Kluyveromyces lactis: one gene and its partners. The protein of the gene in region 3 interacts with the protein of the main gene of each other region in a biochemical or structural test. Links are inferred from orthologs where the notes say so. Each region holds a gene or a part of one and is shown on either strand. Other genes may lie near its edges. The genes, in order: DAM1, CBF2, IPL1, ASK1 and SPC34.

Region 1 (5,658 bases), about 790 kb from region 3:
GCTTCTTCCTCTGGATCTTCATCACCATTGCAGCAGCATCCGACTTTCTTTGGCACTTTTTCGGACGATTTAAACGTGTTTAGAGGTGTAGTAGAGCCGGCGTCAGCAGTGGCTTTGCTAGATGCAAAGGACCTAGTATCATCGGTAGAGGCAGATGGGCCAGGTCCACATTGGCAAAGCTTGAAACGTCTTTCCCATTCCTTTTTCAATTCCCATGCCTTCAACATGTTGATCTTGATTCTGTTAAAGAAGATTTCGGCCAGAGATAACCCGAGTATGACAGCAAACACGTATGCAAGTACGAATGTCATAGCAACAAGCATCAACATATATATTATCATGGTAGAACAAAAAGTGATCAATAACCGTACAAAATCATGGAAGAAATCAACCCAGTCTGGGGCGAAAACGTTGAACATGAATTTGCCGAAACTAGTTGGCAAGAATTGCCTTTGTAATTCCAGATCTTCGATAGTATATAACACGTTCTTACCTGTAGCCTCATCGTTCTCAGCTTCCTCATTGACTCCTGCCTTCTTGAACCATTTCAATTCTAGGTACCAGCTCACAAATAACAAGAATTTGTATACAAAGGCAGCAACAACGATAAGCAAGAAGATACCAAATGCTTCACCGCGATCAGAAGCATAGAGTTTCTCAAAGACAACGGGATAGTTCATATATTTTCTTGTGAGATAAGAGTTCATTCCAGTCATTTCGGAACCACCATCCATGTCCATTCCAGACATAGAACTGGAAGTACTAGTACTCATGGCCATGGCACTGGCTGAGGTGGTAGTATCACCTGCGTGCATATTCATGTTGAAAGGCTTTATTGATATCTGTCGATGGGGTTTTTGGATAGTGTCGGTTGTGGCTCTTTTGATTAACCCAAGCCAACTGTGCAGTTATTCTTTTCTTCGTCAATCGCTTCCCAATACGTGAATGAACAAAGAGTTAAAATCAACAAAAAAACATCAATGTTTCTGGTGTGTAACCGTCAGCAGCTAGAATGGAACTGATCAAGATGTATGGCTAAACACTTATATGCCACTTTCTTATATTTAAAATGTACAACCAATACCTTCTCAAAATCTTCTCATCTCATTCTTTATGTTAGCTCTTTCATTGATTTATGTTCTCTGTAACTTCGGTCATTTTTCTTCACAGAATTCCTTGCAGAATGAAATGAAGAGGGCGGCCTTTATTTGCTCAATAAGCTCAACTCGAATAAAAGTAAATCGAACGAGACTTCACTTGAAACGAGAACGTTCATGTATCACTGATAAGCGGTAAGAGCAGCCTCATAGAGCACTTCAATCTTTACTGAGTACCTTCAGTAATTTTTTTTTCTTCATTTTGTTAACTGACGTTGTAATATTACATTGTTTGGTAGATATACACACGGTATGAATATGTATCTAGAAAAAAGCTCTGGTAAGAAGTATCAAATAACTCGTTACCTGAAAGGAGGCCTGCTTGCAAGGTTTTTTGGATTATAGGTTCTCTGTCTTGTTCTTACAACTCTATTCGGTAGAGCGGGCTCTGTATTTGTAGATTCACGATTAGCAGAAGAGGCAGAGCCAGCGGTAGTCGATGATCCTGCCAAGATAGGAATTCTTTTTGCACTGACTGCTAGTGATCTTTTTCTTTCTCCAGGAGTAATACCTGTTAGTGTATTAGGTATAGTGCCTATTGCAGCGTTGTTTCGTATTTGATGTAGAATGGATCTTCTTCTGAGTTTCGATGACGCGGAGCCTACCGTTTGTTTTCCCATAAAGTCAGTTGAAGCTCCTACTGAAGATATCATTTGAGGTTTGAAAGTAGTTGGGTTGGATACAAACGAAGCGGCTGTGTTATCTTCGTCATCGTTAATGTCAATGTTAACATTCGAGCTTGCAGTAGAACCTGGCACATTTTCATCACGATACAACATCTGAGAACCTCGTGATAAAGGTTGTCTTGAAAGAGGTAATATGCTTCCTTTGGTAAGTTCCTTTGGCTTGAGTTTCGCCTGTAGTGCTTGTCTTTCTTGTTTCAACTCTTCTAGTCTTTGGATTAATTTCAATTCATGCGGAGTATCATGAGATATGTTCGGGAAATCAACACACCAAGAGTTACACATCAATCCGTATAATAAAGCGCTTAGAGCCTCATTTAAATCCGCTATCGATTCATGAATGAAATTCATGTGCGTCATGTTACCATCGAGTGTTACCATCGAGTCCGAAAGTTCCTGTAATTGTGGGAGCACGTATTTTTCAATCATTGTTTGATTTGACGCATGCTGATCTCGACCGTTGTTGCCTAAACTAGATCTTCTTGAGCTTGCATTAGATGACAAAGATAGTCTATATTCAGTTGGCCTGTCCCGCTGTGGAGTATTTGGCCTTTGAGACATATCTTATGAGCAGATGAATCCAGCAGTTTTATGTTGAGTTTGGAATAGTGCCAAGTAGCCCTGAGAATTTAAGATGAAAGGTCAAAAAAAAAAAAAACAAGTAATGAATTTACCTCAGACTGTCTATGAGATGTCAAATTAGATACCAGGTTGCCCAAAGAGACACTATCGCATTCCGTCTGTCTGCTTGGAGACACCTTACTGTTCGTGTTTTTGTTTTGCTTTACTTTATTTACGTTTTCGATTTTCGATGTACAAGTATTTCAACGATAGTTAGTTAGTATTCATCAACAGGAATGAAAATCATTCAAAATAGCTATAATAGTATTTACAGGTACAAACAAGGTTGATACTACTATGTGTTTAGTAATTAACTGCTTGAATATAATTTATTGGAATTTGAGTATCTCGAATACTAGAAAATTGAAGGAAATGATGGGATCGAGATAGAAATTCCTGAGAATATCAATATGTGTTTCTTTATCACATGAACTTCTTGGCATGTTTTAGCTTTTGCCTCTTTATTTCATCCTGTGACATAGCGGAACCACGACCACGTCTTAGTGCAATGATAAGGAAGATAGATGAAAGCAGAGATAACCCATACCAAGTAATTAAATATTGTAAATGATTATTCTTCAAATCAATCTTTGGTGCTTTACCAATAGGCACTCCCGCTTTAACGAATTGGAACTCGTTAAATTCCAATCCTGTCTCCGAATCTGCTGTATTTACTTTCTTCGTGTTGACGTGTGGTTTCTCGGATTCTTCTTGTTGTGGTTCTGTTTCGGTTTTCTTTTTAGACCAGAATTTCCAAGATGATTGGTTTTTGTTATCGATACCCTCAGATTTTGATTCTTCATCCCAATGGTGATCTTTCAGATCGTAAAGAGCTTGGTAATGAATAGGAGAAGTATGTGTCATCTCTGTCATATCCTTAATATCCAAGACTTGCCACAATCTACTCTCCCTGTCTTCCTTCTTCCATTGCATTGATGTCAAATCTTTAGCTGCACGCACTAACACTGTAATTGTCACGTTATCGCCTTGAGGTAAAGACAAATGTTGCAAGTTACGAGATGATGGAACGATTTTCTCCTCCGAGATCCAACCACGTTCAATCAAAATTCTTTCTCCCGTATCCTTTCTGATGAAAGGCGTATATAAAACGTACCCCTTGATCCCTCCTCTAACACGGGGGCCGACAAAAATCTCTTCATCATGCAAGAATCTACCGGTCATAGTACACTTGCGGTATTCCCAGTCTTCGCACATATCCGGTGTAAACGTTTTAGGTAACGGAATAGGATCGTAGGTTAATTTGTCTTCGCAGGAAGCAATTAGATTGGTTTTCCATTTCAATCTTCTTAATTGCCAGGTTCCTAAGTAGAACGAGATCACGGGCATGGCAATCATCAGTCCTAGAAAAATACGCTTACCCCATCGTGATTCCTTCTTTTGAAATCCTTCAGTAGGTGTCTTCTTTGTTTTGATAGGTTTCCAGTCAACAGTCGATGTCCTGACCGTGCTATAAAGTCGTCTTACCGGCCTTACCTTTGGTACAGTGAATGGCCTAGCCACAATGAAGCGAAACATATGCTTTGCTAATTGTGTGATACTAGTAGCTTCCGCTAAGAATTGAAATGCGTTTGAACAATTAGTAACAGCAAAGAAGTTAAAGCTTTTCTAATCATGTTTATACGCGATTAGATATACTACTCATCTGCTTTCATCATCTTCATTTTCCAATCTTTTAAAGATCAGAAAAGTGTGAAATATTCTAAAAGTCACGTGAAGAAGAATTTGGAACTCCGACGTTGTGGGGATATTAATATGTACAAGGTTACGTAGATCTGAGTATTGATTGTTTTATGAGAATGATCATCTAGGTCGTAATTGAATCATGTGAAGGTTGTTCAGATAGTTTCTTCATAGGAGAAAAAGTGAAAGTAATTTAAATATGGAGTTGGTTGAAATCAAGCAGAGTAATATACCTTCTTGACATCCACAATTTTCTTACCTCTACCTAGAGCAATTTCATCTATAGATTTTTGAGACTTGGTGATAGCGTCTATAGTACCCTTGGCTATGTTCATGATATTTCTACTCTTGTAAACTTTTGCACTTAAATCTTTGATACCAGCACATTCACAAATTTCATAAATTACGTGATTGACTCTTAGACCGAAACCTGGCTTAGCAGCTCTCAAGAATAGTTTCACACCGTGGTATCTATAGTCTATGTCTTCAAAAATAGTTCTTTTTTCAAATCTAGGCACTTCTTTTAAGTTCCTCACTGCATCCCAATGAGCTTTCTTGATGGATTCTGCCATATCTTCACGGGATTTACCCTCACCGATTCCTACCATACCATTCTTATCACCAACAACCACAAGAGAATAGAAGGATGGAATTTTACCTTTTGCAGTTTGATTAGAAACCATCTTTAAGATCAATGGTTTCATCACTAGTTTTCTGGCGATATGTTGAGCATCGAACCCCGTCTGTAGTTGGATATTATTGGCAATGTTTTGTATATCTGATCTGCCTTCAGTTTGTAAGTATGAACCCACAGGAGGAGTCAAATCTGGATGCTTTTCCATCTCTTGAACGAATACCGAAGATGAGCTTGAATGTAGATGTGGAGAGTTTGGTTTATAATCCCAATAAGGATGTAATGTGGCAAAGTTATCCAAATATGGTGGTGAGAATTCAACATTTGTCTGTGGTTTGAACTCTACATTGTCAGGAATTACTTTATCAGCTAAGGAAATAGACTTGAGTAGTTCTGGAGAGTAGTATTTCTTCAACAGGTCTTGTTGAAATACACGAGCAGTGCTCGAGAAACAACGGACGAACATTCTCAAATACGATCAGGGTTATTGAGAAAGACGCTGCAACTCACTATGTTGAATTTTGCTCCTCGACCTGTCTAAACCTGCTTCAAAAGACTTCTGGTGTCAATTATATTAGACCTTATTCTGGTGTATATGTCTGAGTATGTTGCCATTCTGTATTAACTATTGAAATTTTTTTAATTTTTGAAAATCGATCAATCGTTACAAATGAGAGAGCATTATTCTTGATCATGTGATTAGAAATTCACAATTCTTAGCTGAAGATCCACCCACTAAGGTATGGTAAGATTAGCAGTGGTTGCACATCTTTAAAATCTTCTTCAGACGTTCAAAGGAGGATACATGGAGTATGTTTCAGGTATGTTCCACGCATCTTTACCCTTACATGGTAGATGACAC
Region 2 (7,152 bases), on a different chromosome or scaffold from region 3:
GTCGGTGACTAACTTATATCTAGGAATGGTATCTTGGAAATTCCTAACATGAGATAAAATATGGTGTTCAATAGTTTCCTTAGGAGCAGTCTTCTTCAGATCAACAATGATCTCGTTTGGCAAATGCTGCACTTGGTACCTTACAGTTGGCTTCTGATGAGTTGTTCTTCTCTTTTTGTATGGACAGTTCTGAGTAAACATGAATGGTGAAATCTCTGGAAGTGTACAGGCAAGCATCGTTATTAGTCTTTGTTCTTATTGGTCTTTGTTGATTTTATTAAGTTTGTTCTTTGATTCAAGTTGAAGATTGAAATATGAGAGGTGGAGGCTGGTAACAGATTGCAATAAATCCTTCAGTTATCGTTGGCTTAAATATAAAAACAATTGAGCTTTAAACATTTGCTCCTCGCCACAGATACTCTTTCTAGCTCCTTCTTTCCTTCTCTCGATGGTGTTGTTCTTTGCTTGGAACTGACTAATGCATCAAATCTTCATGGAACGCTCCTTGATCTTCTAGAAGGTTCTCGAGATTCGAACCCTAAAAAAATATCAAAACAAAAATGGCAAAAAAAGACGAAAATGGAAACTGAGTCATGTGACTACATGCATAATTAGTTACATTTCAACCAGTGAAGTAATCCATGAATGCGCAAAACGCTCCCCTCCAAGTGATTAGCCGGAATAATGATCGTAGCCATTTTGGACGAATCCTGTATAGGGCGATACCGCAGTTATCTCCGACCAAATCATTTCTTTCTGCATCCAAACCTTGTCCTCTCTTAATCATCCGTCTGACAGGACAGCCATGCCAGAAGTTCCACCATTTGCTCCGCTCACAAAGAGTTGTCCTTACTAGATTCTTTGCTGCAGGTCCCTTGGGTCCGTCAATATATTTCCATTGGACAGGACACCATTTCTGTCTAGGATCACTCCATTTCAATTGTTTGTTCCCCCATTGTCCCAAAAAGTATAACCAAGATGTTCCTATTTCTTGCCCTTCCTTCTCGTAGAAAGATTTCCCATCATATGTGAACCCATAGAAACGCAAAGATGGGTCCCATAATGGTCCTCTATCTGTGAAATCACTTAATGCACTGAAGAAAAATGGAACATCATGGGCATGTTGGCCAACACTTGCATAGTTTGCATGTGTACCTCTGGCGCTGAATAACAACGGCCTTTTTATCACTTGAGTCTTGTCAAATTTCCCCTCTGGAGTAACTCTCCATCTATCCTTTTTTTCTATGCATCTATATGTGTAACTCGCGCCGCCCCCATGGGCGCTCATCCAAATATACTGAGGGTCGCCCTTGAAAAACCGAACCAAAGAATGTTCCCAATCACCTATGTGATTACCCCAGGGACCATAACCCATGATGAATGGACCCAAATTGAAGGGATAGAAATAGAACCAATATGCGTCTACCCATCCATTGCCTTTATCAACGACTATAACAATTGATGAAGCATCTCTAGTCAATCCTGTTCCATATTCAGGATGAGTCCCGCGTAACCAAGATGGGTCTTCCTCGAACTTTTCTGTAGTATGTAAATACAGGGTTTCGCTGGATAAAACTTCCCCTGCAACGTTATATTCACCCTTGAGATCTGATATTTTCAGAGGTTCATTTACAACCGTCTCATAATTCGATGTTACCAATTGAAAGTGCGGTACAAAGGATTGGATGTCTCCTGGAAGATATTTTTCTTCGCTGTAAAGATGGATCAACGGTGAATGATCTAGAACATACCTTGGAATTTCACCGTCAGTTAACGTCCGCTCGTGGTCCAGAAGGTCGTTAGGAGATTTTATAGGAGGAGTAAAGTTGAAGTTAGTAAGCGGGTCATCAAGATGGATGGCCGCTACTAGAGTACCAAATAGGTACAAAAACAATATATAGAATCTCATAATCTCATCAGGCTCGTTATAGTTTTCTTTTCAAGTAAATACTGAAAGGTTCTTAGCTAGTTATGACTTTGTTCAGAAGCAACTTTACTGCTTCGTTGCTAAATATGGTTACAATTTTCTATTATACGGTTTTCATTTATGTACCTCATGCAAAGTAAGCATGCTTAACAAAAAATGTTCACGTGACAGATGCATAGCCGTTTTTCTTGGCTTTCTCCAAGAAGGAAGAGAGAAGCGGAACGGAGTGATGCTTTTCGAGCACGGCTTCGAGCTTATTCAATGCGTCAAACTTATTGAGGTTTTCTACATTGATTAGATGTATGTAATACTGAACAATTGGCTTCCGTATCCTGTACAAGGACAGATTTGGTTCTGTCAGTCGCCATTTGTTTCCATATTTCTTGTTCATCGAATGCACGCATTCACGATTTGGGGTAAACCATTCTAGAATAATTGATTTGATGTCAGAGCAGTCGGGATTCATCTCAAAATGATCTTCTGTTAAGGAATAATTCTGAAAGTTTTCGTCACTGTTTTTCTTGTTGACACTGTCACGCGAAGCTTCTCTTAGGGAAAGGTTTAGTGCATCTGCAACCTCAGTACGGACCATGTCACGAAGCGTTGGTTGTATAGAACTGATAATCCGATCAGTTTGCTGTTCCAAATTTTCATTAAATTTCCTAGTTATGAGCTGATTTACCAATTGAGCAACTTCCTCCATGTTTTCATCATCAGATAAAGGTTCTTCTGTATAATTTGGCTTCGATTTCTTAAAAGATGGTTCATAATCGCTCACAGACTCTTCATTACCATTATCAGTTTCAGGATCATAAATGGCTCCTGTCTTATTTCCTTTCTCATTTTCATCATCGCTGAGTTCATCAGCAAAATTAGTCGAAAGAGAACATGGGTCCATGAGTTTGTTTCTCATGTCCTTTCTGCATGATTGTAATAAATCAATTACAAATTGCTTGTTAGATTTCTTGAAATCCAACCTTTGGAATATCTCAAGAAGGACAGTAATCAATTGAGAAAAGCCGGTCGAAGTCTGTAATTGAATCAACTTTTGTAATTCGGTTTTTAGTTGGTCAAGCATAGGAATATCAGTCTGTGACAGTGAGGTACCAATAGGTGTCAGAGTATGTTCATTTTGATCTATCTTGACAGGATTAGGCACTAATTCGGAGACAGTACCAGTTTTATCGATGAGTTGAGCCAAAAGGTGCTCTTGAGACTCTATGTCAAGCGGCAGAGTGCCGGTAAGAAAAGCGATATTCTGCGGTGTCTTTAAGGATGGGTCCAAGAAAATATCATGTGTGGGAAACACTCTATAGAGAAGTGGTAAGCTAGTGACTAGCACTGAGTTCAAAAGATCGAACACTGCCTGAATATCGGGCGGTAAGTCTGTGGGGAACAAGTGCACGTGAACCTGCGGGCAAGGTTGAAGTTTAGTACGATTCATCTTTTCAATGTAAAAGTCAGGAATACCAATGGTGTTTTCTGAATCTGATTCAGCCAGAGTACTTGTATTCTCTGAACTGTCACTGAAATCGGGGAATTGAGGCCACTCTTGGTTAACTTGGAACCAATGTTTTTTAGTGTACGGAAGCTGACAATATTTGAAGATAGTTGGGTACCAATTCCCAAGAGTCAATTCACGAGGATATTGATCCAAGGATTTCCCTCTAATTATTGGTATATGTTCTAATTGTGAAAGGATCTGGTAACCATCCCCTTTATAGTACTTTTTCACACCGTGGAATCGTAGATAATAGTACACTGCCATGGTAAAGATTGGACAAGTAAATGGTGATTGGAAATTGGGAACAAGAACAAAATTAGGTTTACTAGAATGCGCCAATCCACATTTACCATTTTCATCATCCAATATACATTGTAAATCTTTCAACGACACAGTAGTTCTGTCTTCGAAAGACACATTCGTATTGAATTTCCATTGGAAATCCAAGAGTAGTTTTAGCTTATCCTGGCAAGTCTTGAAGTGTTTTGATTGTAAGGAATCCGTACTGGGATTCCATAAATTGATAGAAATCTTTTGTAAGATAGCAATAACATTAGAATAATCAAACTCTAACAATTTCACTAGACCGTATAACCGTTGCTGTAATACAAGAACATCGTTATTTTCGATGTCCAAAGCACGAGAGAACCAAATCATGGCGTCACAAGTAGGTAATGGATCCTTCGCGATATCATCATGCGAAGCAATATATTTGACAATGTACTTTTGAGACAAGAAAAGTTTCAGGTCTGCGCCGGTGAGATCGGGCATCGTTTTCAGCCATTCTGTGTATTTATGCCATATGCTGCGGTATAGATGAGCTGTTCGTGTAGGCAATTCTTTCAAAAGAGAATCAAGTTTGGACATTCAACTTGAGGAAAACAGGAGCCTATATTAGCTTTTCGCCAGCAACCTGAAACCAACCAACTCCATAAGTATCACTTCCTATTGTTAATGGTTGTTGTTTTTATTATTATTATGGATGTTAAAAAAAAGAACTACAATACGCGAAAGACAACTGTTCTCTTTTTTTTTTTTTTTTTTTTTGAGGGGAGCGAAACTGAGAAGAGCATGCATCTTGGAAAAAAAAAACAGTCACGTGAACATAAAAGAAGACCACCTCAAAAACTCCATGATTGTGCTGCCCTTCGTCCCGATCCAAATACGAACCGCTAATGCACCCCACCAGAGAGGACAACATAAGAAATTATACAGACATACAGCTTCTTTGAAAGAATCAATTCTTCCGCCATATCCACCGGGTAACACTACATGCTTGTAACAACAACAACAACACATAAGTCCGGTCCACAGGAAAAAGCGTGATCCAGTTATTATACGAATATCAAAAATTTGACCGATGCCCTCCTTTCCCGAGCCATTAAATTTCATCAAACCAGGCTGCAGCATGAAAAAAAAAAAGTTTGATTTAGAAACCCGTGAAACAGGAGAATTGATGAAGCAACCAGTTTCAACATCTTTGAGAGAGCCAGTTTCTCGCCTTTGGCTAGACTACATACCAACGGTGAAATGGAATTGGTTGATGTGTAGTCTCAGCTAGCATCTACCATCCGTTTATTTTGCCAGTCAATGGAACGATCAAGCAGACCGAAAGGAAAAAAAAAGGGCGATACATTTCCTTTGGTAGAATGTTGTCTACAACAGCAGTTATGGGCCAAACTCTTCGCTCAAAGACAAGTGACACGTGTTTCTAGTGTTCCACTCCACCCGGGGCTAAGGACACAACCAGTTATCCATCCTGTCCAGTTTTTTTCTCTTGTTCAGACCAAGCTGCTCAAGATCCTTTATACCACTAGCCACGTATTTATCTTCGAGATGATTCTTACTGCCCTTTTCTTTCGAAAGAAAAAAAAAAAAGCGGATTTGTAGATTTTTTGATCCAAAAGTCCATCTTCCTGCAGCACTTTATAGGTGCGATCAATTGGGATCGCTTCACCTTACGATGACAAGAAGCGACTAGTGATGAAAAGCGTGAATTACAATTGTTGGGCAGTATACGGTGGCAGAAAGGCTACAGACCGTGAGAAAAGAGTCCGTGCTCTCCATGATCTGGACAGCCAAGTGTTGCGCGTTGTTCTGAACTATGCAACTAGAGGTATATATGGTATATTGTTTTATACAGGGTTTTCCTTAAATATTCCAGCAGCCGTCACTGAAATTTTCTCAGCCATCTAGAGGGAGTTTTAGTTCTACTTTATTTTAGCTTTAATGCAGCGTTAGATTTCGTCGTTTGTCTCGAAATTTTTTTGAGCTGCCTGGTATCTGACTGAGTCTTTTGGGTTCCTTTTTGTATGTAAAACTCTCAATGTTATTGTTTTTGCTTTATTTATTATTGTTTGATTTCTTTTCCGGAACATGGAAGAAATATGAAATTTAAAGATGAGCTTAGTTGAAGCAAGAGTTTTTCATATTTATATATATATTAGTATGCATTGTAGTAATTGAGATATATTAATAAGGTAGATATTGTGTTTTGTAAATTTTTATAGTAGTTGTTTCTAGTTTCCTCTGTCTTCAAACGAGACATCAGATAATCGCTAAGGAAAGTTATATTTATAACTATATCTATCAGCAGATACCGCACATTTTCACTCTAATAAATAATGAACAACGAGGAACTACAATCGATAGACTCGTATGAGGAACAGTTTCCTCAGTCATACGTGCCTGAACCGGCACCTTACGATGGTGCTGGCACTGCAAGTGGTGGGGAAGCAGGTAGCAGCAATTTGAAGTTGGTCCCAACTGAAACTGCTAAATCGTTACAGGACATGGGTCTTACCTCGGAGGTTCCGATCCCTGATTTTAACGCTCCAACCACATCTGTCGCTAAAAACGCTATTTTCCCTGAAGAATATACCTTGGAGACAGCAACAGGGTTGGTTCCAGTGGCTACCTTACATTCTCTTGGTAGAACGCCGACAGCTATCTCAAGGACTAGGACTAGACAGATGGATAGGCAAGACGCTTCGAGTAGCGAAGAGAAAAACGACGAGGAGCCCGATGAGGAATTGCCAAGTCATATCGATAAAGAAGTTGAGTTTGTTACCTTTGTCACTAACGATCCAGAAAATCCTCATAATTGGCCTCTGTGGATCCGTTGGTCATACACAATTTTGATGTCTGTTCTTGTTATCGCTGTCGCTTACGGTTCTGCATGTATCACCGGTGGTTTGTTCACTGTAGAAGAAAAATTCCATGTGAGTCAAGAAGTTGCCATTTTGTCATGTTCATTAATGGTTATTGGGTTCTCATTGGGTCCATTAATCTGGTCTCCTGTTTCTGATCTTTATGGTAGACGTGTTGCCTATTTCATCTCCCTAGGACTTTACGTTATCTTCAACATTCCATGTGCTCTTGCGAAAAATATCGGTACTCTTTTGGTTTGCCGTTTCTTATGTGGTGTTTGGTCCTCTTCTGGGTTATGTCTTGTTGGTGGTTCTATCGCTGATATGTTCCCAGCTGAAACTCGTGGTAGAGCCATTGCATTTTTCGCTTACGCTCCATACTGTGGTCCAGTTTTCGGACCTTTGGTCAACGGGTTTATTGCCATTTCTACCAATAGAATGGATTTGATCTTCTGGGTTAACATGGCCTTCGCCGGTGTTATGTGGATTATCGTTTCCTGTATTCCTGAGACTTATGCACCAGTCATCTTGAAGAAAAGAGCTAAGCGTTTAAGAATTGAATTGAACAACCC
Region 3 (5,899 bases):
TATGGCATCAATGTGCACTTTTTCATCCTTTACATTAAGCTTCGTAAGCAAAGAAACCAAATCCTTAGCGTTCGACATTACTTTTTTCAGTAGAGCTTATTTCCTTCGGAAATTCCTCAATTACGATAGCAATGAGTCGATGGATCTCTATCGTGAGACAACTATTCGTTGGTCCCTATGAAGTGAATTTCGATAATCCATTTTTTTCTTCAACTTTTTTTCATTGTTGCAATGTTAAAAGAATGAAAAAAATGGCAAAGATCTGGATGAGCATATGTGAAATAAAAGATGTGATGACTAAATAAGGGATTTAACCTCAATGTAGTTCTCTTTTTTCAACTATGCTAGCATATTTGGCTACAATTGTTTCTGCAGGTCTTAATGATAATGTTGAAATGTTTTTTCACAAAGTAGAACTCTGTTTAACTATGATTAATTTCCCTTTTGTACCAATTTTTCCTCAGACAATTCCGCATATTTTCTTTATTGTACATGTAAAAAGTCTTGCATTCATAGAAATGTAATATTTAATCGAGCGATGAGATGAGATGAGATGCGGTTAGAGACCATAAGGCCGACTCTTTAAGCAGTAACTAAACGTTGAGCATGCAGCCGGTATTTTCAAGGTTTCCATACGCCTCCAAATCGGGCTTTATTTCACTGGCTTCCAGAGGTTATGCGGTGTCACGGAATTCAGGTTCCAGTATCAAGTCCAATTTAAGATCGAAGCCCAGAGCAGACACGAGATGGAACACCAAAGCGAAACCGCCGGTGAAGAATAGGAAAAGTAATGGGAAAGGTGATCACAGGTCACATTCGAGGAGCGATTCCCGCGCAAAGCCCTCACAAGAGCAGACGCAACAGCAGTTCCAGTATGGTGAGTATGGGAAACTATCGGAAGGCGATCCAAAGATATTGGAAAGGTCAAAGAGGTTAGTGTCTAAGATAAATGATTTCAGTCAGTTGAAGATTTTACCAGAGGTAAGGGACAAACTTATGGAGGTGATTTCAAGCGAATCATTGCTAAATAAGAATTTACTGGACGTGAAGTATAATCCAAAAGAGAATAATGTACAAGAATTCAAGAAACATTTGAAACCATCACCAATCCAGACTACTGCTATCTACCAGACGTCTAAAACTTTAATGGACCCTCAGTTACAAGTCCGTCTTATAGCTGCAGAGACGGGTTCTGGTAAGACTATGGCTTATTTGATTCCTTTGGTGGATTATCTTAAGAGAACAGAAATGGAAAATCCTTCATGGGAAACTTTGAAAGACAAAGCCATCGTTAGGTCCATAATATTGTTACCAACTCATGAACTTGTAGAACAAGTATACCAGACAGTGTCTAAACTAGAACCTGCACTCGGAATGCACACGTATAAATGGGATGCAGGTTCCTCTTACAAGGGATTCGTTGAGGCCTTGAAGGGTAGAATTGATATCATGGTCACAACCCCAGGAAAGATCTTAAGTTTGTTTAACATATCTATGGTGAACAGGCCCGACAGAATCCTTTCACAAGTGAAGTTTTTAGTCATGGATGAAGCAGATACACTTTTGGATAAATCATGGGTCGAAGACTCTTATTCCACGATAAAGCACATGCAAAACTTAAATCACGTTTTGTTCTGTTCGGCTACTATTCCAAAAGAGTTCCAAAAGACGATCACCAGATTATTCCCTACCGTTGGAGTAATTGCTTCCCCAAATCTTCATAAGATTAATCACAAGAATCAAATCAAATTAATTAACGCAGATATGGCCCCATACAAGGGATCAAAGACCAAAGCTCTGGCTCAAATATTATACTCAATTAATAGAGACAACATCGACCCTGGTTTCGAAAAAAGGGTAGTAATTTTCGTGAATGAGAAAGAAAATGTTCCACTTGTCGCAACTAAACTAGCCAACCAATATGGACACGACGTTGTTGCCTTGACCGGTAATGATTCTGTTGAAGAACGTCTGGAAAAAATCAAACCTTTCATGGATCCTCCTAAGAAGATGACAACCCGTAAATCAGAAAAAGTGACTACAGAAAACACAGTAACAATGAAGATACCCAACTCAAATATTGTGATTGAAGAAATACCAGAAGACAATGAAGCATTTGTTGAAAGCACTTTGAAGGTTCTAGTAACGACAGATGTTCTAGCAAGAGGTATAAATTTCAGAGGTTGTCGATACGTTGTTCTATATGATATTCCAAATACTCCGGTGGATTTGGTCCATCGAGTTGGAAGAACAGGAAGAATGAATCAAAAAGGGTCTGTATTTATAATTACTGGAAAACGAGTAAAAAATTGGGTCAAAGCTATACCATCAATTGTTTCAAAGAACGTTTCCATTTCCTAGCAAAGCTAACTAATTTATAGATTCTCTTCCACTTGTATATAGAAATCTAAACATGATAAATACTAAAGATCTGTCCAAGAACCTCGATTATTTGCAATCCATGCATGAGATTTAACTTCCGAGAGGGGGATTCTCTTGGAAGGTTCAAATTGCAGCAATCTTACAATGAGATCTCTTGCCTGCGGTGAAACATTTAGTGGGAACTTGAGATCGCACCTCAAAATTCTTCTATATGTCATTTCCTTTGTATCCTCCTCAAAAGGTGGCGATCCAACTAATAGCTCATAAGTTAGAACTCCTAGGGCCCAAACATCTACTTTATTGTTATATTCTCTAGATTTAATGAGCTCTGGTGAAAGGTAATCTATAGTTCCGCATAAAGTCTTCCTCTTTTGTCCATCCTCGTTATATACACTCCAACCGAAATCTGTCAGTTTGATAGTGTTGTTGAAACCAATTAAGATATTCTCCGGTTTTATATCTCTATGCAATATGTTTTTACTATGCATATAATCCAAGGCATTAGCCATTTGATAAACAAAATAGGATGCCAGCGTCTCATTCAAAGGCCCGTTATTCTTCAAAAATTTATATAGTTCTCCGTAATAGACATATTCCATAAGTAGATAAACCCGTTTTTCGTCGTAAAAGAATCCATATAGCTGTGTCAGATTTTTATGTTTGAACGAACCCTGAATTTCTACCTCCCTCCTGAACTGTTTCTGAATTGTATATTGAACAATTTCCTTCTTTTCCATCGCTTTTAAAGCACAAATTAGCCCCGTTTCCCTATGTTTAACGCAATAAACTTTACCAAACTTACCTTTACCTAAGATCTTACCTATTTCAAAGTCCTGAAGTGTCATGTTTTCAAACTTATCGTTGTGATCATTCAATATTGGTACGCGGGTACCATGCGCGGTGTTGGGTTTCTTTACCATTAGCGATCTTCTAGGATTGTTGTTCACTGGTCCAGTGCTCAACCTATGATGAGACGAGGTAATCGAGTCTTTTTCATGTGCGTGTCCTCGTGATAAGCTAGGTCGTTTTCCTGCATTACTTAGTCTTATCGATAATAGTTTACTCTGCTGTAACAATGAATGCCTTCTTCCTGTATCACTTGCATCCCTCGATAACGATGGTCTCATGTTCAATATATTAATCTTGATGTCTGATAGTACCGTTGCACATCCGCCGTCGGATCTTGACCTGGCTTTATGACACAGTTTTACACTCTTCAAGGTGACGTTCTTTAACCTGAATCAGATTCATTTCATTATTTACATTTTCCCTCTCCAAAGGTAAACAAACGGAATCCATTATAGTGAAGCAGAAGAAGACGTAGAAAGACATAGACCGCGATAGATCTAGTATAAAGCTATAGTTGTCAAGGCTAGGTGATTGCTTTTCACTTTTGTCATTTGTATGATATGCATAATGGGTCTTTTTGATTCTTGATGGACTTATCGTGTCCCCGTTCTAGCATGAGTTTTTACTGTAGGCGCTATGTCATGTAGTAATCATGTTTGACCAGAAATAAACTTTCATCATTTAAATTGAATCCATAGTTATCAGTGAAGAAATTTCAGTGTATTTAGGGTAGCACGAACTTGGTCGAAGTAATCCGTTGGGAAACTATAGATCAAGAGGAATAAAGAGGCCTCAAATCGGCTCTTTACGCCATGGTAGTGATGATTCAGCTCGCAGATCTTAAGGAAAAAAATGAAAGTTACCCTACCACACGCATTAGCGTAATATTTACGATAGATTACTGATGCACATGAGATGAGCCGTAAACTTCAAGGAGGACAACTATCTTGATCCAGGGGAATGCCTATCAAGTGCTCAAGTTTCGAAAGCTACACGACAAAGATATATTAATAATGGATAAATTGGACCAATTGCTGGCATTTGCCAAGGACAATGGAGTTTCACTTCCACAAAATGTTGGATTTAAGAACGTGGAGGGGAAGGGTATCTGTTGCATTGCTAGTGATGACATAGAGCAAGCTGTCTTTCAATTGCCCAGCCATCTGATAATTACCAAGGATCTTTCGAACAAACACTTTAGAGATCAAGTGAAAAGCAAAGAACATCACAATACATGGTTGAAACTGTTTTTGAGCAAGCTAAAGTTTTCAGATGAGATGATCATTTTGGATAATGAAAACATCACAAAGCTATTCAGACCATACATTATGGCTTTACCATCACAGGTAGATTCTCCGTTGGGATGGAATCCATCTGAGCTTGCTCTGCTGAATGGGACAAACCTTTACACATCTCTAAAGGAAAAGCTACAATCGATATACGACGAATGGTGGAATGTCATAGAGGGGACTTCTTTTCAAACGCGACAGTACAACATTGAACAGCTCAGTATTGATGAAATATACGAGCAAATAACGAGTAAAGTATTTTCTGAGAAGATTTTGGACTTCTTCTCTTTTCCAGCGTTCTTATGGTCTCATCTAATGTTTACTTCAAGAGCGTTCCCAGAGAGAGTAATAAACCCATATTGTGATGAATATAATGTGATATTATTACCAGTATTAGACCTTTTAAACCATGAGAATAGATCAAAGATTCAGTGGTCATGTTCCAGTGAAGGAAGTTTTATATTTGAAAAACTCGAACCAGTTTCAAAAGGAACTGAAATATGCAATAATTACGGTGCTAAAGGAAACGAAGAGTTATTATATGGATATGGATTCGTAGTCGATGGGAACGAATTCGATAACCTTGCATTGAAACTCAAGTTGCCTTTACCAGTAGTTGAGAAGATTTTAGCAGATGGTTCTGTATACCTTCCAACATTTGATGACTACACAACTTACGCTTTCGATACAGTAAAGGATACCCGTGGAAACCAGAAAAAGACAAACGATACCAAACCATTGAAAGCCCTGGAAAATTTTGCTGATGGAATCCTTTATTTTATCAATGCTGATCTAGAAAATTTGAAACCGTTAATGGATCTTTTCTCACTTCTGAGTAAAAACGATAATGAAAGTGCACTATCATTAAGATGCCAACTGACAGCACTACAATCGTTGAAGAATGCATTGAAACAAAAATTGTACCTAATAATTGATGCAGAACCATTGGAATCACAAAAGGATTATGCTACATGTGAATATAGGAAACAATGTGCGGCGATTTACAAATCCGGGCAAATCTCGATTCTAAAGGATTCTATCAATAATATAAAGAGGTTACAAAAACACATACTGACTGCCTACAAACCATATCTAGCAAGCATAAAGAGCATTATGAAACATGACCGGGATTTTCAGAAAGACTATCACGAACTATACGACCAAACCAACAATGCCGCACCGGCAGATTTAATAGATGAATTTGAATATGCAGTCGCCTGGTTGATGGTGAGAACTCAAAAGCTCGCACGCAGCAAAGAAGCTTCCGAATACCTCTGGGTACAAGATCAATTTACTAATTACTTCTCACATTACACCGAAGACTCTCAAATTTCTAACGCAGGAAAAAGTCTACATAACTATTTCTTCCCCAATGGTAA
Region 4 (5,355 bases), on a different chromosome or scaffold from region 3:
CTCCGTTCATAATAAAGTCGAACAGTCAGATGCTTCTGAAGTAGAAGGTGGAAAAGAAGAGCCTACTTCCAAGGACAACAGAAAGTCCTTGTTCAAAGAAGTATTTTGATTTGAGCTGTGAACATGGTCTGCTCACATTTTTTTATACTATTGAACTCTAAAACCAATTCATCACGTATATCAAAAAGTTCTTTTTATTGATTGATCTTTTAATTACAGTGTCAGAATGATTCAACTCTTCATAATTTGAAGCCATTTCAAAGTAACAAACCGTTATGTATCACTATGAACTTTATTTTTTTCTCTATCTCATAACACTTTTTAAAATTCCCAGAAGCCTGGTAATTTATTCTGTTCTGTTTATTCTATCTATAATATACTCTATTTTTTGTAAAGTTCTAACTAGTATTATCATTATGCTATATTTCAGAATATCCTTCCGAGTAGTTTATATTTACAACTTCATTAATAATTTCTTGAGAAACTAAGTGAGTTATAGTGCGTTCAACTGATTGTACTTGTAATAGTTCAAATTCTCCGTAATTGTGATTTGATGGAAATACTTGGACTGGGTATATCTTCCGCCAATATACCAGTCAACAGAGACAATAATGAAATATAATCCGAACCAAAATGCCAATAGCCATTCAAAACAGGCAGTCGTTGATCTATCTTCTAAGCATGCAAAACAAATAGCCCAAACGAAAGCAGCTATTACCCAAAATGCCTTTAGTAAGCCACTGATAGTATACTTGTTCCAAACATGGCCGTGCCATTCATTCCACCTTGTGTCTTTGCCGATATCTTCACTACTTGTAAGAGGATGGACGACAGCGTAGTGTCTGCCCATTGTCATATATTGTGCGACATGACAAATTACACTCAATCCGACAAATGCACAGAATATACCCACCATGGAACTGTGCACCCTAGGATACGTGTTTGTTGAGAAGATAGTGCACATAAGCAAAGCCAATTCACCTATACTTCCTAGTACGAATGAGGCCCATACTAGATTCCGTTCATGTTTGGTAAAAAATGGAGGCATGACATATTTCTTCTGAATTAAAGCTTCGATGTAGTTCGATTCCATTATAGAGCTATCGTTAGATTTTTCTAAGTCATCATGATAAGTATACGGTAACTTGAAAGGCCAATGACCAGATCTTTGAAAATACTCTAGAGCAACCATGATTACGTATCCTAGACCTTGCCATGCCGCACAAGAAATAAACAACGGTTTTAAATTGGTCGCACCAATATGGGATATATAAACCGGGAACTGGTCTGTATGCATGAACCAATAAATGGGATGACCTTGTCCTGCCCAACATGCCAACATCGCAATTAGCATCCCATACCATGGAATGAAAGCTATCCAGGGAAAGATAAACCAGTAGTTACCTGGACGTGGAAACATATTAGTATAGTCTTGCGGTTTACGTTTATACCTGTATCAAATCCAATCCTTATGAGAATGTCTACCAGTGATATTCTTTAAAGGAATGAGCTATGTTGACCTTGTCCCGTCAAATTCGGCTGGTATAATATACTCATTCTTTTCCTTATATATCTAAAACCCGACTTCCACGAATAAAAAACAATATAAACTATATTTGACATATTTATATATATATGCTTTTATATGGCATGGCTTGTGTATGGCACTGCAGTGATGCTGTCACTGATGCCTTAAATTACAACTTGCTATTCACTGAATGTAACTGTCAATCGGCTCGATGATACACTAGCTTGAGACACCCTGCGCGATTTCTGGGCGCTTTGTTGCGATATTTGCTCCAGTAAAAAAAAAAGGTTTTCTTTCGATGCTTTACTAATAGGTTTCGAGGCTTAAGAGCAAGGATGGATAACGTAATGGATGATATCTAATTTTCCACTCCGAGTAGGCAGAGCCTTCTAAGCCATTGATACCCTTGAATAGCAGACGTGACCGGTGTCCTTGAATCAGTACGTATTATGTAGTTTAGTTTATACTTTCAGCTTGGAAATATCGTAAGCCTCATCCGAATCAGCCTAGCGCTTCTTCGTTGATCTGCAGAAAGTTACCTTGGCATTGCAGAGACTTTCTTTATGTCATTTCAAATTTCTTCTTAGAGTTACAAGAGGAAATATGAATTTGACCAAAAAGTCAACAAACCGGTTTGACAGAAAGGATTTGGATTTGGAAGTGTAAATAGTGACGGTTACAGGTAACAGGACGCGGTGTCCGTTGTTATAAATATTACAGTAAACAAGGAAAAGGACGCAATTAGTCTGTGCCAATTAGCTAACACTAGGTTTCCTGTTTTACATCATGGATGCAGTGAATATTGAACAAATAGATCAAGAGATCACGTTAAATTTACAATCAATCGATTCAGACCTCTCGTACTGTTTCAACAAGATAACAAAGGATATAATACCGTACGTGACGCGATATGGACAGACTTGTGAAGATATCACGAATTCTAGTTCGTGGCTGAAAGAAATGTTTCAGCAGAGTGCTAATGTTCAGTTGGTGACGGATCAGGCTGTGGAATCTGCGGGTCAGGTTTTGGAGCCCCGGACTTCCTTATTTCCAGAGGTAGAAAACGAAACTGATGAGTTCCATACAGTCGATCAATACCCTGCTTTATCTCAAACCGGAGTAAGTTCCGCTGGTGCCCCCACCACGAAAACAGGAGGATCGGTAAAACAGGATCAATTTCAAGATCAGGATACCGATGAGTTGACTCAGGATAGTGCAATGGAAAAACAGAGGAAGAAGAGAAAAGTTTCGTTACAAATTCACCAACATTTCAATTCGTCGTCATCTTCTAATTCTTCAATGGAGAATGATATCTCTGCAAACAGTTCCCCAATAAAGACGATCCCCCCGGAAACAGAAACTGGGACAGAAACACATAACAAAATCCAGGGCGAATTGGCCAAGCCGGGAACCGTTATTCATTTTAACAGCAAACGCGATTGAAGCTCTGTCTTAGCCTTCCCCCACTCACTTCTATATCATAGTGTGTGAGGTATACATTGTTACTCAGGGTTCCAGATCCTATGACCTGAACGAACAATCACGTGATATAATACTTTCCTTTTTAGTTTCATGCTTCTATAGCTTCGTTTTCAATCGGATTTCTACATGGTGAATTTGACATTCTGATTATGTGCGATGCAGAGACTAAGTGAGTATTCATATACGATACAAGATACGCCACAAAACTACCATGGGTAACGTGATGAGTGCAAGTTTCGCTACAGAGTGTACACCTTTGAAGGGTAAGTACGATAAATGTTTTAACGACTGGTACAGCGAGAAATTTTTGAAAGGTGAGTCAATTGAAAACGAATGCCAAACCGAATGGTACGAATATATGGAATGTGTCCAAGCTAGCTTGGTGAAACAAGGCATAAAACCAGCTCTAGATGAAGCACGTAAGGAAGCACCATTCGAGAATGACGGAAAACCTGTAGAGCCTTGAATTGCGGACCAAAGAAACGCATACATACCTGCGCCATTCGCTATGATGAATCTAAGTATAAAATAAATTAAAATGGGTTTCATTTGAAACCTCTGTAAATAGAGAATACAATACAATACCTAGCGCGTATTTTTGACCACAGTAGGGTTAACATTACCAGGAGTTTCGACTGAAGTTGTACCACCGCTACGTGATTATACCTTAATCCTTTCTCCACCGTAAGTCAGGGCAACGTTCGTCCTTTGTGATATCTGCTGTGCAACTCTCTTAATTGGGGTAGCCTTCAGAGACACCTACATAATTCTGCATATAATAATTCAAACATATCACCTAAATAACTAAAGCACAAGAAGGTCCAGTATAATGACTGCTGTCATATTCTTGTAGAACTTCGTGCCAGCTCCATCTCACTGTTTCTATCTCCTCATTGCAGTACTAGAATAGAATATTCTGATTACCCTCCCTCCTTTTTTACCCTATTGCCACCAATAGAAAAATTGAAATAAGAACATTTTCGATAAAAGTAAAATTTGATTTCGAAAGATCTGGGAAAATAGGAAACAAATATTGTTAAGTTAGATAGCTTAATACTCCAGAGAAAGAGTTCAAGGATTGAAACGGCGTTTAAGAGTTCCATTTTTGTAACGATACCTATCTCGCGTGCTTTTCTTGTTGCGAGCAGATACTAAAATTGTACTTTTTTTGGAAAGAAATTATACTCAACATTTTCCAATAAAGCATTATAAAAAATTTGCATACTTGCTTAAACTTCTAAGATTAACAACAAGCAATCAGAACTACTTCAAGAGAACTACTACTACTCACGCAATCCAATTACAGATTATTACAATAACGATCGCCTTCCCTCTTTTGCTAGCAATAATTTAGGTTCGCACAGTTTTTATCAATAGAAATAATCCCGGATGTCACAATTTAAGAGAAACGCCAGTTCGAAGAAACTGGACTCTGAGACTAAATATAAGCTTGAGACGCTATCAGAATTGTTCCCAGATTGGACAAATGATGATTTAATTGATTTAGTCCGTGAATATGATGATCTAGAAACCATAGTTGATAAGATAACTACTGGAGCAGTGACAAAATGGGACGAAGTGAAGAAACCATCTAAAAAGGAAAAGCCTGCATCGCATATAGAACACCAATCTCATAGTTCTCATCAACAGCTGCAACAACAAGCCGCATCACACCTGGACCCTGAAGATTCTCCTTCTCTAATAAATCAACATCATTCGCATCAAAGACAATCTAGATCCACCTCTAAGTTCAGTAATAACAGCGCCAATGGCAAATCAGTGCAACAAAGACAGCAACACCAGTCAAATAATAAAGATAACAAGAAGCAGCCTTCAAAGGATAGTTTGAAGCCTGCTCCATTACCATCTAAATCTAACGCTGGTAATAACGCGGGGTCTTGGGCCGCCGTATTGGCAGAAAAGAAAAAGGCTCATGAAAAGAAGATTGACCATACAAAGTCGTCTAATACAATTGCACATGAATCTACTAATGAACAATCTGAATCTAATGAACATACCGAACCAACTGAAGTTGAAGTTGCACCTGCCCAGCCTGTTGACTCTGCACCAGAATCTGTCAGCCATCAACATGCGCCAGAATCTGAATCAATCGCCACCACAAACGGTGATTCTAAGCCAAAGAGTTGGGCTGACATTGCAAGCGCAAAGAGCAGACAAAGACAACTACAGCAACAGAACAAGAAGCAACAACAGCAACAAAAATCTAAGCCATTGGACAACTTTGATGCTTTGAAGGAAGAAGTTGATCAGTTGTCTTCTGAGCAAACGGAGAATGGAAACCACGCTATTTCTCAAGAACCAGAACAACAGCAACAACCATATGC
Region 5 (5,599 bases), on a different chromosome or scaffold from region 3:
ACTTACCACTATTCAGATCCCATTGACGTACTGTCCTATCCTGAGAACCAGAAACCAAATTGTCACCGTCAAAACTTATTGCGGTGATTTCATCAACATGAGAATCAAAGGTATATAAACATGCATCATTATCTTCAGATGAATTTGACGCTTCATCAGCCATGGCCTTATCGATATCCCACAATTTCAGAACTGCGTCCCGACCACCAGTAATCAGGGTGCTATATTGATCAATTTGCATGCAACTGATAGATGCTAAGTGTCCATGCAATGTAGCAATTTGTTTTTTTTTACTTAAATCCCATACTTTTACCGAGTGATCTAGACTGCCAGCAGAGCACATAGTACCAAATGGCATATCAAAATCTAGGCAAGTGATATCTTCATCATGGGCCTTAGGAAGGCTTGTAATCTTAGATCCGGAATCATAGAACTGTTGTAAAGTTGGATAAGTTTTACGGCGGCGATTACGGTGAGAAACACCAACATCTTTAATTTTTTTGGAAGTACTATGTTTCTTCCTTTCGGAAATATCCGATTTCTTCTCGTGGTCTTGTAGCTGCTGATAGATGGATTTGGAAAGCAATGGAGAGTGCTCTTCTTCTTTGTTTTCTAAAGGAGTGGTAGCCGCAGTTTCATATGTTTCGTTAGTTTCTCCAGTTTTAGGCGAAAGTTCAGATAATCCATTTATATTTTCTTCATCCTCCGATGAGTATTCTTTATCCATGTTGTACTCTATAATCATATCGATTCTATCCTTAACGTTGTTCAAATGCTTCTCCAAAAACAATTCATGCTGCTCAATTTTAGCCACTCGCTTGAATACTAGTTCACGCATCATTTTTAACTTTTCCAGCTTGATATCTAGCTCTCTTATTTCGCTAGCTGCTAGATTTTTCTGGATTTCAAGTAAATCCAGGTTATCGGTGATTGACCTCGAGGCATCCTTCAAGAAGGATGCGGAGTAAGAATGCAGAAGTTTATCAGCTTTTAAATGGTCTGGCAAACTAAACTCTTCCTCTTGTTCTTCTTCTTCAGCGTAAACTGGGATGGACTCAGAGTCTGTTAAGGGTTTCATATCGCTATTCATTATAAGTTTTTGCTGTAGTTCTATCGTTTCATTAATAACAGGTAAAGATGCTTCAAATCCTTGAAATAACGTCGGTTCTTGCTTTTTTGACTTTGCAGATCTTTTCTCGCCATTTTCTGTTATCATGTTCTTGTTCTGAGGTATAGTGTCTCGTGGGGCGTCTTCAAGTAGATCATCACTCAAGTAACTTAAAACTTTGAATGTTGTTTTTGGATCACTATAAGAGTTTTTAAAGAACTCTTTGCTATTGGAATATATATCTTGGAAACCTGTATTCTTGCCTTTAGATAATTTCACGTCGTGGCGTACTTTAACTAGTGATGATCCCCCACCTGCATTAGTAATTGTCTCATGAAGCAATTTCTTATATGGACTACTGTATGAAAGAATTGTGTCTTCCATCGGCTGCGACGAGAATAGAACAGACGCCGTGGTAGACAGTGCCTTTCCCAGATTGGCAAACTGGTCTCCCGTATTAGAACTCATAGTTCTGGCACCACTAACACTCTTATCGAGGCTTTTGCTCGCAACATATGTTTCTTTAAGATTTGAAGTTGTAATAGGAACTAACAACTCTTTGTTTCCATGTATCTACTTTTTTGTACTCTGAAATTAGAACTTTCATTGCAGCAATAAAATCATATGAAAGAACGAAAACCGTATTCTCTGTAGAAGAGCAAGATGCCGTAGAAATGGAACTACGATATATTTCGTTATCATAAAATTAGAACCTTAATAATACAAAAATGATATATACTGAACTGAAACTTACATGAATATTTCCATTCCAGTGCGAGATTAATTCCCGAAGTGTGAAATATATCTTTCCACTTCATTTCGGCAAGCATATCGGTTTTTCTTGGATATAACTTATTAATGTATCAAATGGATTTTTAGTACCGCTGCTAGATTTCACTTATTTCTCCCTTCCAAAAGGTCCAACTGTTTCTCGAGCTTCTGTATTTCTTTCTCCTCTTTATCGATGAGAGATGATATTGACGTTTTTTCCGGTAACGCTTCGTGTTGGAAGTCTAACTCCTGGATCTCTACTTTCTTCTGAAGTTCATTAATATCAGCTTGTAATCCATTGTATATTTGCATTAGTTTTTCAAATTTCTCCTTGTATTCAGTGAGAGGCCATTGATCTATAATTTCCCGGAACACAGATAATATAATCGAGATTGGGAAATCTTCTACGAAAAGAGTTTTCCTTCTTGATACATCCTCGCCAGTTATCACACTTCCATTCCGCAATGCATGAAGAAATTGCTTGATTTGTTCGTCCTTGCTGAATTTTTTCAATAGCACGTCGTAGATTCCCAGCTCATCGCTGTTACTTCCTTCGAAGATAAAATCTCTTGCAGGTTTCTGTTTCTTTCGGATGACATGATCGTTTTGACTGAGATAAAACCCCTTCGGTATGTAGGTAATAGGTCTTGGATCTGGTAAACATAGTGCTCTGTTCCGTTTCAAAGTTGCTTCCCTCTCCAAGAGATGATCGTATATCCCTACTTTCCCATCCTTACGCTTCATATTTCCATCGTTATCTGTACTGTATAATGACATTTCTTCAATTGAATCGCCATCTCTTATAAGCTTTACTATAAGATCTGAGTACACTTTGCTGTTGCCTGGTACAATCGCATTTCTAAAGATGCCTGGCGGTTTGAAATATAAGGTCGATATTGACTCCGCGGATTTTGATATCTGATCCAGGCAGTAATCTAATGATCCAGACATCCTTTGATGTTGTTAAAAAACACTACACGTACAGATTAGGCACCACCCTCTTTCAGGAAACTGCTATGGAATACAATATTTCATCCAATACTATGTAATTTCTTGAAATACTCCAAATGATTCATTTATCTTTTAACTCGATTATGTTTACATTTTAGTTTTTTTGTTTTCGGTGTTTACGAAATCTTTACGTGAAAAGAGTTGGCATTATGTTAATGGAAAAGGTTGACAGAAGACTTTTAAGGCTCATGCGGCCTTTACATCGGGGTAAGCTAAGCGAGAACTATTGCTTACTTTATTCTATATATGATGATAAATAAACAAGAAAATCAGAATTGGCTATTATTATTCTCTCCATGCGATATAAACCTCATCGGTTCTAAACTTCTGCGTGACAATGGTTTCAGAAAGATCCTTAACAAAGTGGCCTGTTCTGTACTCTAATAGGCCTGCCTGGGCAATCATCACACCATTATCAATACAGAATCTGTCATCAGTTGCGTGTACTTGTCCATTGGACCTGTCTTTACACATTTGGGCCATCATCTCTTGAAGCCTAACGTTGCATCCAACACCACCCACTATTAGCACTTGGTTTGAGTTTACATGGGCCATTGCACGTTCGGTAATCTCCACAAGCATGGCAAATAAATTTTCCTGTAAAGAGTAACATAGGTCTTCTACAGTCACAAGCTGTTCTCCTGTTCTTGAATCAAATAATAATTTATTCTTCAAGTTCTTTTTGAATAGGTCTTTCGCTAAAGTGTCAATATATTGCAAAATACCACTCATTGACAGATCCATTCCCTTAACAGTGTATGGTAATACCACTAATTTTTCTTTATTCTTACACTGTTTAGCCAGTTGTTCAATGTTGTAACCAGGCGATGGTGCATTCGGTATCTTCAAAGTTCTTGCAAATCTGTCTAAACAATTCCCAATGGCGATGTCCAACGTTTCACCAAAGATTCGATATCTTTTCTCGGAGTAAGCAATAACTTGAGTGTTACCTCCACTAACATAGAGCACGACAGGATTTTTAGCTCCTGTGATCTCTCTCCCCATCTCGATATGCCCCACACAGTGGTTAACCCCAACTAATGGTATGTCCCACATCAATGACAAAGTCCTTGCAGCTATAACCACACAATGCAAAGGAGCACCCATTCCAGGTCCTCTAGTGAAACATATCACATCGATCTTTGTGGGATCATCGATCTTGGCCTCCGTTAATGCCTTTCTAATGATTCGTACCACCCAATTCCTATGATGTCTTGCAGTATCTCTTGGTAAAAACCCTTCTCCTGGCGGTGTCACATATGTATCTCTAATATTAGCCAATATTTCAACATCACACTCATACGAAAGGTCACTATCTTCATGTTTTTCTAGCACTGGGTGCTTGATAATACCAACGCCTAACTTGTTGGCAGATCCTTCAAGACCAATTGCCAAATAATAGTTCCTTTTACCTCTTGGTGGAATGCCGTTTAAATTCACCATCTCTTACTGAAAAAAGAATTTTTGACGATAATAGGTATACCTTCAATGAATATCGCACGAACACACGTTGAACTGGTGAGACACACTATATATTCAGGGAGTTGTATTACAGATCAAGATAGTCAACTCATCTCAGTTCAACTTTTCGGTTTTCTCAGATTCCAATTTTTCAAAAAATCATATACACCAATTTTGTGAGTAAAAGATAGCATAGTAAGAGGAGCAACAACAGAAAAAGTGTATCAAACTGCAAGACATAGTCATAGCTGGTCAATCACTCGTTGAGGGGAAAAGATTGTGTACAGAACGTATTTTCAGATTCGATATGAAAAAAGATCTCCGCGACGGGGAATTGAACCCCGATCTCGCACGCGACAAGCGCGAATTCTAACCATTAAACTATCGCGGATTTTGAAATAAAGCACTCACGGTGGGGGTCGAACCCACAATCTTCTGATTAGAAGTCAGACGCGTTGCCATTACGCCACGCGAGCTATTTAATTCGTTGAGTTGCTTGAATTCCCTTTAATTTATGTACGGAAGCCGAAACCACGTGCTAACAATGTGCATCTTTGGATAATTTATTAATGGATTTCACCCTTTGAATCAACGCAAAAATACCTTTTATTAATTGCAACCAGCGGAAATCTTTTTACTACGACAGTGAAACTCCCTGAGCTAATTTTATCTCATTAGCCTCTTTATATTTATCATTAACAACAGAATGTTATAAATACTTCTTCAATATATGAATTAATTGCCATTGGGCAATTAATTGGGGGATAGTATAAACTTTCAGCAATGTTTGATAAAAGACCTTCTAAAATACGTACACCACTGTGAGGTATGAAGCCTCAATCTAGAGGAAGGAGCTGAACATGCAAATCAGTTAGCAACTGAGGTCTTCAAGACTTCATTCGCCGATCACATGACATTCACAGACTCTGTGGACACCTAGAAAAGTTTTCTGCCAAAATTGCGAGGGCGTGTGGTCTAGTGGTATGATTCTCGCTTTGGGTTAGTAGCCTAGCGAAGCTTCGATAAACGAAGTTTAACTACTGCAAAGCATGCGAGAGGCCCTGGGTTCAATTCCCAGCTCGCCCCAGATTTTTTTTAATTTCTGATCTTTTCTACCACTGATTGCAACCCAGTGGAAAGTGTCAAATGAGAATATTTTCGTTCACAAAAGCACGTGATCAGCTCTGTGGCTTCTTGTATATATTAAGCTCTTATTAATAACTGTAACTTTCAACAGTAGAGCAATGA

Evidence for each region.
Region 1: of the proteins of IPL1 (region 3) and DAM1, one has a biochemical effect on the other in vitro, tested with the Saccharomyces cerevisiae proteins (7 studies listed by BioGRID). The link is inferred for Kluyveromyces lactis from reciprocal best matches to the Saccharomyces cerevisiae genes IPL1 and DAM1.
Region 2: of the proteins of IPL1 (region 3) and CBF2, one has a biochemical effect on the other in vitro, tested with the Saccharomyces cerevisiae proteins (2 studies listed by BioGRID). The link is inferred for Kluyveromyces lactis from reciprocal best matches to the Saccharomyces cerevisiae genes IPL1 and CBF2.
Region 4: of the proteins of IPL1 (region 3) and ASK1, one has a biochemical effect on the other in vitro, tested with the Saccharomyces cerevisiae proteins (2 studies listed by BioGRID). The link is inferred for Kluyveromyces lactis from reciprocal best matches to the Saccharomyces cerevisiae genes IPL1 and ASK1.
Region 5: of the proteins of IPL1 (region 3) and SPC34, one has a biochemical effect on the other in vitro, tested with the Saccharomyces cerevisiae proteins (2 studies listed by BioGRID). The link is inferred for Kluyveromyces lactis from reciprocal best matches to the Saccharomyces cerevisiae genes IPL1 and SPC34.

What each region holds. Positions count from the first base shown.
Region 1 is NC_006038.1:998,431-1,004,088, forward strand, and holds DAM1 (Dam1p), read right to left. Parts: upstream 2,402-5,658; coding exon 1,460-2,401; downstream 1-1,459. Other genes in the region: high-affinity Cu transporter CTR1, read right to left, coding at 1-821; cytochrome oxidase assembly protein SHY1, read right to left, coding at 2,885-3,997; MRPS5 (mitochondrial 37S ribosomal protein uS5m), read right to left, coding at 4,378-5,262. UniProt on the Saccharomyces cerevisiae protein: Component of the DASH complex that connects microtubules with kinetochores and couples microtubule depolymerisation to chromosome movement; it is involved in retrieving kinetochores to the spindle poles before their re-orientation on the spindle in early mitosis and allows microtubule depolymerization to pull chromosomes apart and resist detachment during anaphase.
Region 2 is NC_006041.1:343,729-350,880, forward strand, and holds CBF2 (Cbf2p), read right to left. Parts: upstream 4,299-7,152; coding exon 2,088-4,298; downstream 1-2,087. Other genes in the region: KLLA0_E03763g (uncharacterized protein), read right to left, coding at 1-237; KLLA0_E03785g (uncharacterized protein), read right to left, coding at 623-1,909; KLLA0_E03829g (MFS transporter), read left to right, coding at 6,056-7,152.
Region 3 is NC_006038.1:204,440-210,338, forward strand, and holds IPL1 (aurora kinase), read right to left. Parts: upstream 3,510-5,899; coding exon 2,424-3,509; downstream 1-2,423. Other genes in the region: signal recognition particle subunit SRP72, read right to left, coding at 1-78; MRH4 (ATP-dependent RNA helicase), read left to right, coding at 607-2,361; RKM1 (protein-lysine N-methyltransferase), read left to right, coding at 4,245-5,899. UniProt on the Saccharomyces cerevisiae protein: Component of the chromosomal passenger complex (CPC), a complex that acts as a key regulator of chromosome segregation and cytokinesis.
Region 4 is NC_006039.1:1,071,149-1,076,503, forward strand, and holds ASK1 (Ask1p), read left to right. Parts: upstream 1-2,314; coding exon 2,315-2,971; downstream 2,972-5,355. Other genes in the region: LPX2 (Lpx2p), read left to right, coding at 1-109; SFK1 (Sfk1p), read right to left, coding at 494-1,420; MDM35 (Mdm35p), read left to right, coding at 3,222-3,476; DNA damage-responsive RNA polymerase-degradation factor DEF1, read left to right, coding at 4,400-5,355. UniProt on the Saccharomyces cerevisiae protein: Component of the DASH complex that connects microtubules with kinetochores and couples microtubule depolymerisation to chromosome movement; it is involved in retrieving kinetochores to the spindle poles before their re-orientation on the spindle in early mitosis and allows microtubule depolymerization to pull chromosomes apart and resist detachment during anaphase.
Region 5 is NC_006042.1:1,996,802-2,002,400, forward strand, and holds SPC34 (Spc34p), read right to left. Parts: upstream 2,831-5,599; coding exon 2,003-2,830; downstream 1-2,002. Other genes in the region: KLLA0_F21406g (WD repeat MDV1/CAF4 family protein), read right to left, coding at 1-1,576; KAE1 (tRNA N6-adenosine threonylcarbamoyltransferase), read right to left, coding at 3,176-4,333. UniProt on the Saccharomyces cerevisiae protein: Component of the DASH complex that connects microtubules with kinetochores and couples microtubule depolymerisation to chromosome movement; it is involved in retrieving kinetochores to the spindle poles before their re-orientation on the spindle in early mitosis and allows microtubule depolymerization to pull chromosomes apart and resist detachment during anaphase.